3 linked regions of the Rattus norvegicus genome follow. Each later gene encodes a partner of the first gene's protein in a complex. Links are inferred from orthologs where the notes say so. Each region holds a gene or a part of one and is shown on either strand. Other genes may lie near its edges. The genes, in order: S100b, Capza1 and Capza2.

Region 1 (4,926 bases):
GGTGATCGATGCAGTCTGGAACTTTCCTTCATTCTGTCAGCTGCCCTCCCTCGTTATCCGGAGCTGGCGTCTTCTGTCAGAGACTGTCAGCACCTTTACTTCCCGCTCAGGCTCAGTGGGAGCCATGTTGGTGTCCCTGCCTTAGATGTGTCTGGGAGCGGCAGAGATCTCTCCTACTCTCACTGGGGTGTAGGGATTGCTTTCACATCTCTGACTTTGGATCTTCCACTGCCATACCTCGGCGGCCCGTCTTGCTCTCCAACTGTCACTTCACTTTCTTGAGTGTGCCTTCTTTCCAGGATGTAGAACTCTTTGTCCACTCCATAGGACTCCTGTAACATTTGTGGGGGCTTGTCTGGGATCTGAAGATCAACACACACATACACACACACTCACGCACGCACGCATGCACACACGTGTGTATGTTCATGCACTCGGGTTTGAAGATCTCTACTTAAAGTCAGTGTAACTGACTGAAGACAGCTAGGGAGGGGTCAGAGAAGCCTCGATCATCCGGTACCCCAAGCGACATCACAAAGTAAGGGTCTCTTCCCAGCCATGATTATCATAACCGTCTCCCCCAGTCAGCTCCCTTTTATTGTCTATTGATGACTAAGAAGATTAGGGGACCTAATCTTTGGGGACCAGTGGCTTTGATCTCCTATAGATAAATGGTGAGTCGAACCAGAGCAGGGGTTTATACCTCCACCCCAAAGCTAACCTTTCCTCAAGAAAAGGTTACATTCCAGGGCAGGAAAACTTCATTCTACCTCTAGCATGTCGAGTCAACTTCTTGGTCTCTGTGATATTTGGGTGACTTTTGTCATGTAGCTCTTCCCACAGACACTCCGGACTCGAGGTGCAAAGGGACGTGTGTGACTAAGCTATCCTCCACTGGGGAGTCTTCTGGGTTAGTTTTGTGCCTTTGTGACAAGAGGCACAGCGTTTCTTCCCTATGTGAAAAGAGCACAGGACGGGCCATCTCTAAAGCATTTCTGGTGCAGACAGCTCAACCTTTGACCAGGGTGAGAAGGGAGAGAGGCCTAAGACACAGCTGGCGTGTCTTTCCCTCTGTGCAAAAGTACTAAGTTAGAAAGAAACTTACCGCACCCTGGTCCCTGAGAAGACTGGGTTCAAAGAGGAGTCTGGGGGTAACCACTGCCCAGCATCACCAGCCACAGCATGGCATACCTGTAGGAGGGGACCAGAAAGCTGGCAGGCAGGCAAGATGCTCAAGAGGCCTCCTTGGAAGCCAGCCATAGCCACACAGCCTCCAGCACTCAGCACCAGAAGTTTCCAGTTCTTGGCTGCGTATCTGCTGTTTGAATCAATTCACCCACGCTGTCTCTCCCCTCTTCCCACCAGCCCCCCAATCTTGCCTCTGGAACAGCATCAATATTCATATCCTAAATTTAAACGGCACAGAGAAGCTGACTCCACATTTCCTGCCCAACAGACCCATATTCTTTCTAGATCAGATCCAATTGTGGCTGCCCAGTGGGTCCCCAGGGTACCACTCAATGGGGCCCTGTATGCAGGCCCGGTGGTTGTCCAGCTCCTCCCTAACCTTGGCCCCTATTGGCAGTCGCAGTCTCAGCCTGCAGCGGACTGCGCCAAGTCCACACCCAGTCCTCTCTGGAGGAAGAAAAAGGAGCTTCTCTGTCTACCCTCCTAGTCCTCGGACACCGAAGCCAGAGAGGACTCCGGCGGCAAAAGGTGACCAGGAGGTGAGAAAGAGTCACTGGCAGGACCCAAGAAAAACCGCTTCTTTCTCTCTTTGCAGGGTGAGGGGGTGAAGGGGATAGGATGGGAATTGAGCTTTGAAACTTTTTAGAAAACCTTTGGGGACGTTTGGCTGCATTCCAAGGCTTCCGATGAGGCCGCCTTTCTTGTTTCCTTGTGACAGTTGTTGACATCTGTGCTGCCATGGAATTGTGTCTGTCCCTGTTTTCGTGAAGCCAGAGATCCCTTGGGTCATTTTTTCAAGATTCAGAATGACTACTGATGTTTTCAGAGATGGCATCTAGGGCTTCTTCTCTACGTCCTAAGGGAAGGATTTTCTTTCTTGGAATAGAGTCACCCCAAATCCCCAACCACAGCGCTCCCTTTCTCCTGGTAGCTTTTCCCGGGGGTCCCTGGAGCACCCAGGTGAGCTTTTCCAGTTTCCCTCTTTGAAATGCCAAGAACTACATCTCCAGACACCGCTCAAAAAAAAAAATTGCAAAGTAGTTGAATCTTTTCAGATCATTATGAATTGGGGCAGAGAAATGAGGGTTTGGGAGTGGCCCTGACTTCTCTGTTACCCCTCCTGGGGAGGGGCAGTCTTTGTGGGGAACCCCTCCCCGGACAGGCAGTACCATTCCAAGAAGCTCAAGCCCTGTGTTTTCTTTATAAAGTCTCCTCCATTTGTCTTAGGAGACAGACAACTAACTTCTTTAGTTGAAAGAATAGGGGAAAATTTGGAATGTCTAATGTAGTCGTGAGAAAACTCAAATTTTACGGACTTTCCTAGCACATGGGATGTGGTGTGACACCGTTTGTTCTTAAGCCTTAGTCCTTATCCACAAAAAGATCATTTAGCCTTTCCCTCCCCCAGCCGTTAGGACTTTGAGCAATATCAGTATGATGCAGAGTTTCTGGAGACTTTTTTTTTTTAAATCAATAACTGTGCTGGGTACGAGCCAACCCTCGGGAGAGTAGAGGCAAGAAGATCATGATTTAGGAGAAAACTTGGGGACAGTGAGACCTCGTGTCAATCTGAAAAGGAAAAACAGGCAGGTAATTCTGCGCCTGGCTTCTCCTCCCCTCCCCTCCTCTCCCCTCCCCTCCCCTCCCCTCCTCTCCCCTCCCCTCCCTTCCCCTCTTTTCCCCTCCCTTCCCCACCACTCTTTTCATGCCACTAAATGTTTCATAAAAAAACCAAACAAAGAAAAACAGTAACCAGGGGCGTTGGGGATTTAGCTCAGTGGTAGAGCGCTTGCCTAGCACTTTGCCAGCTCCGAAAAAAAGAAAAAAAAGAAAAGAGGAAAAAAAAAAAAAAAAGGTAACCAGGGCTGGAGAGATGGCTCAGCCCAGCATCCACACTGGCAGCTCACAACTGCCTGTCACTCCAGTTCCAGGGGATCTGACACTCTCCCAGCCTCTCTGTGGGCACCATGCATGCTCACACATACCAGCCTGCAAAACACCCAGACACACACGCGTTTCTTTTCTTCTTCTTCTTCTTCTTCTTCTTCTTCTTCTTCTTCTTCTTCTTCTTCTTCTTCTTCTTCTTCTTCTTCTTTTCTTCTTCTTCTTCTTTTTCTTTTTTCTTTTTTCTTTTTTTCGGAGCTGGGGACCGAACCCAGGGCCTTGCTCTTGCTAGGCAAGCACTCTACCACTGAGCTAAATCCCCAACCCCACGAGTTTCTTTTTAGCTAAAAGACCAACAAGAACGGAAAACACAAGTTAAGAAACCAAGAGAGAGCATCACCTCTTATCCCTTCAGGTTCTATTTATGGGAGGTACTTCAGGTATCTGGAAAAGACGAGCAAACTGAGGAACCAGAGGGTCAACAAAGGCCAAAAACCTTCCTTTCTCTTGCTGAGATCGTTCATAAAAAATGTAAGAAGTTACTAAAATCTAATATGTTCATCATGGAAATGACTTTTGAGTGTCTTTTGTTTGTTTACTTATGACGGTGCAGATTCTGGCTTAAGGATCAGAACTCAAGGCCAGGAGCTGTCTCTGCCTAAGTAGCTGGTCTCTGAAATGAGCCCAAGGCCGCCTCTCTCTCAGAGAGTTGAGCAGCCATCCCCGATTCCCCAGGCTGTGGCTGCTGCATCAGGTGCTCTCTTGAAGGCTGTTTGCTTCTCGCAGGCACGCATGCCTGTTCACAAAGAAGCTGCTGTACTCTGAGGCCAGGCTAATGAGTAAGCACAGAACGCTGGGCTGTGCCTTGGTCTCCCTTTGTCAGCATGCCAGGAGAATCATATGACCTTGGAGTCCGTGTTGCTGCAAGGTCGCTTCACTGTTACTTTTCAAAACAGTTGGTACAGGGATACCTTTAATCCGGATGAATTTTACAGTCTACTTTTTTTTTTTTTTTTTTTTTTGGAGCTGGGGACCGAACCCAGGGCCTTGTGCTTGCTAGGCAAGCGCCCTACCACTGAGCTAAATCCCCAACCCCTCAGTCTATTTTTTTTGTTTGCCCCCACCTCATCCAAAAAAAACCTCATGTTTTTATTTAAAATCTTAAACGGATATATTAATTCATATGAAAATGAGCTTTGTTAGGTCTTTTTTTAAAGGTATTTATTTATTTTATGTATGTGAGTACACTGTCACTGTCTTCAGACACACCAGAAGAGGGCATCTGATCCCATTACAGATGGTTGTGAGCCACCAAGTGGTTGCTGGGAATTGAACTTAGGACCTTTGGAAGAGCAGTCAGGGCTCTCGAGCACTGAGCCAGCTCTCCAATCCCTTTGTTAGGGTTTTGTTACTGCAATGAAACACCTTGACCAAAAAGCAAGTGGGGGAGGAAAGGGTTAATTCAGCTTATACTTCTGCGCCACAGTCCATCATCACTGGGATTCAGGACAGGAACCCAAGCAGGGCAGGATCCTGAGGGCAGGAACTGATGCAGAGGCCATGGAGGGGTGCTGCTTACTGGCTTGCTCAGCCTGCTTTCTTATAGAATCCAGGACTACCGGCCTAGGGATAGCACCGCCCACAGTGGGCTCGGCCCTCCCTCATCGATCACCACTTAAGAAAATGCCTACAGCTGGATCTTATGGGGGCATTTTCTTTAATCGAGGTTCCCTTCTCTGAGATAGGACTTTACCTTGTGTCAAGCTGATATGAAACTAGCCAGAACACGCTTGTTCTTGTTCTCGGAATCCTTTGGAAGGGCTTGCATTTGTCCTCCTAACCCCTGATATTATT
Region 2 (4,939 bases), on another chromosome or scaffold:
TGGACAGGTACCACCAGGACCAGCCTTTTCCGCTAGCTTTTCAATTTCTGTTAAGAATCAATTAAAGATTAGAAGGAAAAGCAGGCAAAGTAGGTAAGAAGCTCAAAAATCAAGAAGTCTTACAAAGCCCTTTCTTTTCCTTCTTTTCAAGACAAGGTTCTTGGCTGTCCTAGAACTTCCTCTGTAGACCAGGCTAGCCTCGAACTCACAGAAATCTGCCTCCCAGTGCTGGAATTAAAGATGTGTCCCAGCATCACTTCCACCCAGAAAGCCTTTCTTTATAGTCATAGATTTAGAGAGATGTGAATGTGCCTGTCAACTCTGAGGAAAGGAATCTAATAAAATTACAGGAATCTCAAGTTACTAGGGTCTCTTTATGTAGTCCTGGAACTCACTATGTAGTCACGGTTGGCCTCAAACTCAGAGATCTGCCTGTTTCTGCCTCCTGAATGTTTGGATTAAGGGCATGCACCACCATGCCTGGATCAAAGCATAGGGATTTTACTGTATCATTATACTACATATCTACATTGATAAAGACAATGTAGTCAATTAATAAAAAACAAAAACAAAACAAATAAAAAAATCTCTATTAAACCTAGAACCATGGGAGGCAAAGACAGGAGGGCAAATTGGAGATCAGACCAGTCTACAGAACAAGTTTCAGATCAGCTAGGGATATATAACAAGAATCTGTCCCCCAAATACAAAACATCAAAAGCTCTTTACTAAAATAGGAATAGGATTTATCAGCAATTTATCAGCAGACTTACTACTTATTACTGGCTTGTTTATCATTATTAAAACTAAGCAATAAAGTTAAGTATCATGGTATGTGCCTAGCACCATTTGAGAAAGCCTGGCAGATTAGGGTTGGGGTCATTCTTGGCTGTATAGTGAGTTAGAGGTTTACATGAGCCACATAAGACACAGTCTCAAGAAATAGAATAAAGTTTCACTCTAACTTAATGTTATGTGAACCAAAAGTATTTGTTTTATAATAAACGTTGTCATAGTTTTCTTTGTGTGAGTTTTGATTTCTTAGGTCTTTAATATTTATAATACTCAATGTTCAAATAAGAGAAACCAATACTAAAGTGTTATTTGGTGGCTTTTTAGTTTTTGTCCTACTAACAATGAAGTTCAAACACAGGATGTTGCACATGTTAAGTACTCTAGTAACAAACTGCCATCCTGGTCCCTGTTAAGTGTTTATAAAGGTGCTAAGCACCCTTTTCAGCATTTAAAGACAGTGGCTCATTCTTACACAGGTATATATTAAGTTATTCTTTTTGAAGAAGTGATCAAAAATAATCTGTTCCCCCCCCAACAATCGGTTGGACCCCCCCAGTGCAGGGGAATGGGGGGGGGCGGTAAGGGGGATGGATGGGGGGAACACCCGTATGGGGGGTGGATGGGAGGTAATGGGGGCTTATGGACAGGAAACTGGGAAAGGGAATAACATTTGAAATGTAAGTAAAGAAATACATCTAATAAAAAACAAACAAAACAAAACAACAAAAAAGAACCCAGGCAGATTTTATAGAACACCGGAGGGCACATACTTTGCTAACAGGCACTGCAGGAAACAAAAGACACATTCTTGTCCCATAAGTAGTTATCTAGTGAAACCATTTTAACTTCTAGCCACCCTAAGATTCTGTGTTTATGGAAGAACCTGGCACTTCTTTCCTTTTTGAACAAACTGTTTAGCAAATATATGTGGTTGTCAGGAAAAGTTATCCTATCAAATTTGGGATACACCCTTGTATTTAAAACACCTTTAAAGATCTAGGCACACAAACGACATTCTGACAACCCCAGCTATAAAGCACTACAGTTGGTCATCAAAAAAGGGTTGGGTGTTTCATCCAAACTGAATGTGTTAAATGTGAGGTTTATTTGCTACATAACCTTTCTGGAGTTGAAACAAGTCTGTTGCCTACTTCTCACGGTTTAACCGGAAGTAAAAAAAACTACTTTGAAAAAAAATTATAGTTAAAACAGAAGAGTCGGAGTCACCTTGGGGCTAAACGTGCACACAAGAGAGCATAAGCAGAATAAAGGTGTTCGTCAAATTCTTAAGCAAATCCCTTGAGGTTTACTGATTTATTTTTATCCAATTAGTTTAGTCGTCAGTAGTTAAGAAAAGATGAGGGTGTGTAGGTTAGGTGGACAGGCAACACCAGAGGACCTCTCCCTGACAAGGAGTCCTGACAGCAAAATCACTTCCTGAGGAAGGAGGAGCAAAAGGGAAGTTAAGGAGGCCACTCTGATCAGGAAGTGACTCGTTCTAAACTAACCCCAATCATACCTATAAATGGGGGGATGGGGTGAGCCCCAACAGCCAAAGGCGGTAAAATAACTGCTGCCTGACACGTCCCGACATCACATTCTCCTCCTCTCTTACACAGTAAAGAGTCTACAGTTAAGTCAATCAGACAAAGTGTCTCCTCTTTTGAAGGAAGGTTGTGTTCGGTCCGGAATGAAAAGAAGAGTTGAGGAATGGGGGACTGGGGCCACCGTGAGGCAAACGAAATCTCCTTTAAGGAAGGAAGCGTCCCGGATGCAGAGGGAATATGCTAGCACCGGGAAACAACCTTCTTTTTCCAGGGGTCACCACCAGGTTTCCCACTGCTGCCGGCTCGGACCCCTGGGCCTCGTCGGGGGAGGAAGTAAAAGAGGCGGACCCCTTACCTTCTCCTCATCCGACACCCGATCCTCGAAGTCGGCCATCTTGGCTGCTCTGGCCCAGCCCGGCGGGCCGGCGCGAGGCAAGCCGGGAAGGAAGCTGAGTGGTGGAATCACCGAGGGGGCCGTCAGAAGGACCCGCCCGGAAGCTCCGGCCAAGAGGGCGCCATGTCAGTTCCGCGCGGGCGTGACAGCTTAGGGTGGGAGCGCTCTAGGAAGTCGACTTTCCCCTCAGGGTTTTGCAGTCTTAACATCTTTCTCACTGGGTTTCAGTCACTTTCCCATTCGTCCTGGAATGCTTGGTGGCGTGTCTCGACTGTCCATGGCGCCTGGGCTCCCTCTGGTCAAGTAGCAGTTGCTACACCTAGAAGTTTTCCTGATCCCGTTGGTCTCGTAGGCCGCCGAGTCCAGTGCACTAAGAGCTGCTCGGCTCTAGGAGACATCAGTACTTTTCCAACGCCGGCACAGGGCGAAAGGTGACCCCCAACCACGTACGGAACCAAAACCACTTCTCTCCAGCGCCACATTGAGTCCGTTTCCTGCAGAATAAGTGCCACCATCGGATCCTTCCCCGCCCTCCTAGAGGACTAGGTAGCCCCAGAGTAGGCCACCTTCCAGGCGTTCCGCCACCTTCCAGACCTCCGTCCAATTCCCCAGGACTCAGCCTAGACAGAGGCCAGCTTCAAGTCCGCCACTATCCCAGGATTCCCAACTCCGGGTTTCCGGCCCTTCTCCCCTCCCAGGTCCCGGCGCCTGCCGGAGACGCAAGATGGCGGACGGAGACTACTTCGCGGAAGCCGCGCGGGCTGTGGGGTGTCCCCATGCACCTGTTCCCGGCTTGGGCCTGGGCCCGCCGCTGGGCTGGAAAGAGCGGCTGAAGGCCGGGCTGGCGAACTCTGGGTCCACGCTGTGGTTCCTGGCGGGGCTGGGGCTGCTTTACGCTCTGAGGGTCCCGCTGAGGCTGTGTGACAACGTGACAGCGGGTGAGAGGCCCAAACCTCCTGGACAGTCGGGGACAAGCACCAAAGATCAGAGATTCTCAGGGAGTCATGGAGGGCTTTGCAGAAGGAAATTGGTGTTGCATGCTCCAGTGGGTTTATTTTTTCTTTTGGGCCACAGCAACCCGGCAGCTAATTGTTAAACCTGTGCTGCAGTTTACCGGCCCCTCCCTAGAGCTCTGAAGGTTCGCCCTCTCTGTTCTGCCTACGTTACCACCGGAAAAGCTACCTGTCAAGCTGCAAGCTTCAGGTAGTAAGGCAGAAGAGAGCATTCCCAGATAGGTACACACAATGTATATACATTCTTATTGCTTGCAGGGCTCTTTGAAAAACCGTACCATTGAGTCTCCAGCTGCTGAACTTAACCTACACCAGAAACCTAAGATAAGCATATCTGTAATACAAGATAGAAAATGCTATGATTTTAGTGGATCATACTTTTATTGTAAGACGGTTCAATTAAGAAACGTTTTTCGTAATATTTTTATCCTTCAGACTTTGTTATGAGTAATAAGATAGTACAGGAAAGAGAGAGAGGAGAGAGAAGCACTGACAACAGTGAGGTTGTTTAGTATTTTCCTTCCGCAGTTGTACAGTGTCACGGGGCCTGGGCTAAAGATAAAATTTGTAAACAGTGTTGATCCATGCAGATTCTGCAAATGCTATTCCTTAGCCATAGGCAGGATGAAAAGATGGGGTCCTGGACCTTTTGTGGTGTTATTGCAGAATTTATTTCTGCAGCCTCAGAAGGTGGAAATATTTCTATTAGAGAGTCCCATGAGATGACATGAAAGACCATAGGATAGTGCTCTAAAATGCTTTGGGTATTTTAGAGGACAGGCACCACATACGGTCTAATTTATCTGTAATAGTTTCATGACGTAATTTGTGTGCTCATTAAAATGCTGTTCATTGAGTTGTTCATTTATTTTTCTACTGTTGTTGTCTTGAGGCCAGGATATAACCAAGACTGACCTTGAATACCTGATCCCTTGAGCCACTTCTTAAGTGGCGGATTTAGAGACATATACTAGCTAGCCTGGCTTTAATTCTTTGTTTAATGTATGTAGCTGTCTTCAGACACACCAGAAGAGGGCATCAGATCCTATTACAGATGATTGTGAGCCACCATGTGGTTACTGGGAATTGAACTCAGGACCTCTGGAAGAGCAGTCAGTGCTCCTAATCTCTGAGCCATCTCTCCAGCCTGTAGCCTGCCTTAAAAATTGTTTTTATACACGTCCCTCTTT
Region 3 (4,177 bases), on another chromosome or scaffold:
GTATTATCAGAAAGTCAGTTTTAGCCCTAAGCAGGTGTACTGGTTCTAATGACCTCTTTTGGCCTCCATGGGCCGCTGCATTCACATGAACAGGCAGGGGTACTCATACATACACATAATTGCACACTTGTTATTGTTTCATTTCTCCAGAGATTGAATAGGTTACCATTACAAACAGTATTATATCAAATGTCTTTATATTCCTGGTAACATTGACAATGGTTTTCTTTAGATAAATCCTTAGAAGAAAATTTGCTGCATTAATGAAAACATCTTTTAAAAATGTTTAATGGCTGCTAAAGTTATTTTAACAGATTAGCTTAAAAACTTAGTTAATACTTAAAACCAAAAACTTCCTTAGAGAGTGGTGTACACTAACTTTACACATGAGCATATGTTTAAAAGCTAAAGATGGTAACAAGAGCCAGTGGGCTGGTTCCTCGGTAAAGGCACTTGCTGTGCAAACCCGGTGACCTGATTTTGATCCCTGGAACCCACAGTAGAACAAATAACCTGACTCTGAGAAGCTGTCTTCTGTACCATTGGCTATGTCTAAAGTAAATTTTTAAAGTTATCTGTTGTAAATAAAAACAATAAGAAAAAAAAAAAAAACAATGATAAGGATTTACAACAAAACTTCACCATTTTTTAATGGTGCTTTCTCCTCCGGAAAAGACTTATAAACACTTGTAAATAAAGAGATGACATATCAGTAATAGATTTGTGGATTAAATTATACTATTAACATCCTGGGATATTATGCAACTAGTAAAGAAAATAGTGAGAGATTGCTAGTAGAGGGTTTCCATAGATGTTTATGTATAGAAAATGTCAAGTATGTGTGGATTAAGAAGAGAGCAGAGCCTGTTTTAGCCAAAAGGCAAAGCTTTCTTCAGGGTACAAACTGCTGGTTTGTCCCCAAGTGAAGGAGATGTAGCACTGCCACAAAGGAGCTTGGGGTCTTATAGGGTACTTTTAGTTGGGCAGAGTGGCAAGAGAGCATTAAGGAAAAGGAGCTGCATATAGTTTGCCTGGGGTCGTGGTCAGGGGTCCTCTGGCTGTTAGGATAGCAGAAGGCTATAGTCAAGGTCTGTTAAGATAAGAGGTTAGTGGACTTCCAAGTAGTAGAGAACATTCAACTTCCATTTCCCCAATGAGGTGGGGTCACACATTGTCATCCATCTTGGTGCCTTACATGATTACATGTTGGGCCAAAGCTCTGGGCCAACCCAGCAAATTCATAAAGATGTATATGTTTGTATAATTTTATCATTTTTGAAAACAATGACCCACAAACCATGTATGTGTGAGGATAAATAGATAGGTGTGCATATTTATCTAATGTGGCATTTTATTACCAAAACATTTTTACAAAGTTAATTGTTATGTTGTCAGCACGATTTATACCAGAAGGATGGGTAAGTCTTGTAGGTCAGCATTTACTAGCTAGGACAGCTACAGGAGAAAAGGGTTTTTGTTTTTAAGTAAGATACAAAGTAAAAGGCTTATTCATATATTAAATGTATATAAATACATAAGTTATGTTTTACATTTTTGGAAGTTAGTAGTGATTAGTTTTTAAGAAACGAGCACATTTGGGGAACAGAAAGACTGAGCGCCACACAGGGCTAAAGGGCTGCCTCACTGATTAAACTATTGATTGATAAGGCCTCAGGTTTTAAGGATTAAACCATCAGATTGATAAGGCCTCGGTTCTTAAGGATTCTTGGCTGCCATCAGAAATAGTAAACTGCCTCTTTGAGTGGGTAGGTAGATCGATAAATGGAGGTCATCTCCAACACTTTCCCCACTCAGTATCCAAAAATCGTTTGGAAAGATATGTTAATGTATACTAAGAGAGAATACCCTCAGTATCCTTGTGCCTACTCTCCCCCACCCCCCAACCTGGAGCTGAGGACCAAACCCAGGGCCTTGTGCTTGCCAGGCAAGCATTCTACCACTGAGCTAAATCCCCAACCCTGTGCCTACTCTTTTAAAATATATTTTCACAGTATAATTTAAGCAATTGTTTCAGTGTAATTGTACAGTTTCAGAAAGGGTCTTAAAGCAAATATTTATTACTGTGTGTTCATGTTAATATTTTTTCCTAAATTTATTTGAAAATTGAAGGTCTTGATAACAGAACATGGAGACTTGGGAAATGGAAAATTTTTGGATCCAAAAAACAGAATCTGTTTCAAATTTGATCATTTAAGAAAAGAAGCAACTGATCCAAGGCCCTATGAAGCAGAAAATGCCATTGAATCCTGGAGAACTTCAGTAGAAACTGCACTGCGAGCTTATGTAAAAGAGCATTATCCCAATGGGGTCTGCACTGTGAGTCGTCAGTGGGCTGTTCTTCCCTGTTGTTTCTTATACAGATGTGCCAGTTTATAGAATTCCTTGAAATAATAGAAGTATATAGAACTAACAGCTTATAGCTTCTAACTTTTTTCTTTCAAGAATGTTTATCTTTCTAAATAAAATTTATTATGATAGCCCCAAACGGTAAACTAATTGTATGTTAAGTTAAATTCAGATAGACACTGGATTAAAGGATATGATGGTGCTCTCTTTAGTCATCTTCCCATGTTCAGCTTAAATTAACTTTTATTTAGTTACAGAAATCTTAAGAGAATCATTTCAGTTTATACCTTAATTTCCTGTTGTTTTAATGTTATTTGTTCATTGATTTAACTTTTTTTTTCAGAATGAAATATAATAGTATAACTAAATGGGTTTGTTTTTTAATTTTCCTAAGATTGTAACCAGATAGGCTCTTCAGCATCTGAGTTTGGTCTTCTCCAGAGCCATAGTGAGCTTTCAAAATGCACATGAGATCCTGAAAAAGCCTCTGCTTGGAATCTTTCAGAGGCTTAGGGTAGAATCCAGGCATCTGAGAGAGATTTGTGAAGCCATGTGGCCTTGGTTCTGTTTACCTGTCCAACCTAAAATTACCATACATCATAGTTATGCCCACTTTCTGTGGTATCTTATAGATACTTAAAGGGGGACATTGTTTGGCCTTAACTAAACTCACTGTTGTTCTTGTTTTCTTTGCCAATAAGGTGTATGGCAAAAAAGTAGATGGGCAGCAAACCATTATTGCATGCATCGAAAGCCATCAGTTTCAAGCAAAAAACTTTTGGTAAGTTAAAGTTTTTGTTCACTTAATTTTAACAATGTTTATAGTCCATATAACTTAGACTGTACCTTCTGTGTGACTGTGTGACTAAGAGCAATGTAAACTTGATAAATAAAACTGCTGTCCTTTGAGAATTTGAAAGATACTTGCTTCATAATGATGATCTGAGTCATTAGAGTGCAGTAAAGCCTTTGACACTCACCAAAGAGTGTAGGAGAGCAGAGTGATTGGGAAGGGAACTGGCAGCAACTTAAGCAAGTGTGTGTGCTTGCAAACAGACCAGGTAGCACCCCATCTGCTCATTCTGAAAATGGGGTGTTCTTGTGTCTTACTCAAGAGAGGGGGACAGAAGCAGTTTAAAAAAAAAAATAACTAAGAACCAGGAGTCTTCTTTAAATTTGGGAACTTTAGGTTAGTGGATTTTTTTCTAGATAGTGTTCTTTTGGACAGTGTGAGAAGGTAGAATTACAGTCATGCTTTGTAACTGCATATATAATAGTTATTTGTACAAAAATCTGCCTTCCCCATGGTGATATATCAGGTGTTTAGAACATTGCTGAACTTTATTCTGAATTTGTATATCATAAAATTCTAAGGTTCTCTAAGATGTTTATTAGTTTAAACTGAAAGTTTGGGCCACCAACTTTCACACATGATGGATATCAGTAAAAATGATGAAAATGTTTAGATTTAATGTTTTGACTCACTAAGTTGTTTACGGTACTCTTGAGAGTAAAGTTACTAGTGTCAGTAACCCCAGTTAGACCAGTTTAGGCTCTAACCAAGGCTGTTCACTACTTTGTCATGTCAGAAATCAATGCCAGGTTATACAAAAAGCTAACCAAAAATATTTGGTGGAATGCAGATCCATCATCCATATCTAAACATAGGCCTAAATGACAGACTACAGCTTCTTAAAGATAGTGACCTTACAGGTTAGTTTCCTTATCTTATCTGTATAATCCTAAACCAAGAAATCTTTGGAAATTATTTATATATTTGTACCAGGAAATAATAATAAATCAACAGTTG

Evidence for each region.
Region 2: the proteins of S100b (region 1) and Capza1 are in contact, whole or in part, in an NMR structure (PDB 1MQ1), measured with the Homo sapiens proteins. The link is inferred for Rattus norvegicus from reciprocal best matches to the Homo sapiens genes S100B and CAPZA1. Residues at the interface, in NP_006263.1 of Homo sapiens: Glu46, Glu47, Lys49, Val53, Lys56, Val57, Thr60, Phe77, Met80, Val81, Ala84, Cys85, Glu87; in NP_006126.1 of Homo sapiens: Thr265, Arg266, Ile269, Asp270, Trp271, Asn272, Lys273, Ile274, Leu275.
Region 3: the proteins of S100b (region 1) and Capza2 are in contact, whole or in part, in a crystal structure (PDB 3RM1), measured with the Bos taurus proteins. The link is inferred for Rattus norvegicus from reciprocal best matches to the Homo sapiens genes S100B and CAPZA2. Residues at the interface, in NP_001029727.1 of Bos taurus: Ile37, His43, Phe44, Leu45, Glu46, Ile48, Lys56, Val57, Thr60, Phe77, Met80, Ile81, Ala84, Cys85, Phe88; in NP_001013016.1 of Bos taurus: Thr267, Lys268, Ile269, Trp271, Ile274, Leu275.

The regions. Positions count from the first base shown.
Region 1 is NC_086038.1:12,377,771-12,382,696, reverse strand, and holds the start of S100b (protein S100-B), read left to right. Parts: upstream 1-1,615; 5' UTR 1,616-1,727; exon of another isoform or gene 1,728-2,778; intron 2,779-3,487; exon of another isoform or gene 3,488-3,603; intron 3,604-4,926. UniProt on the Homo sapiens protein: Small zinc- and- and calcium-binding protein that is highly expressed in astrocytes and constitutes one of the most abundant soluble proteins in brain.
Region 2 is NC_086020.1:195,050,078-195,055,016, forward strand, and holds the start of Capza1 (F-actin-capping protein subunit alpha-1), read right to left. Parts: upstream 3,024-4,939; 5' UTR 2,737-3,023; coding exon 2,698-2,736; intron 1-2,697. Other genes in the region: St7l (suppressor of tumorigenicity 7 protein-like), read left to right, coding at 3,461-3,674. UniProt on the Homo sapiens protein: F-actin-capping proteins bind in a Ca(2+)-independent manner to the fast growing ends of actin filaments (barbed end) thereby blocking the exchange of subunits at these ends.
Region 3 is NC_086022.1:46,960,751-46,964,927, forward strand, and holds part of Capza2 (F-actin-capping protein subunit alpha-2), read left to right. Parts: intron 1-2,130; coding exon 2,131-2,337; intron 2,338-3,068; coding exon 3,069-3,148; intron 3,149-4,177. UniProt on the Homo sapiens protein: F-actin-capping proteins bind in a Ca(2+)-independent manner to the fast growing ends of actin filaments (barbed end) thereby blocking the exchange of subunits at these ends.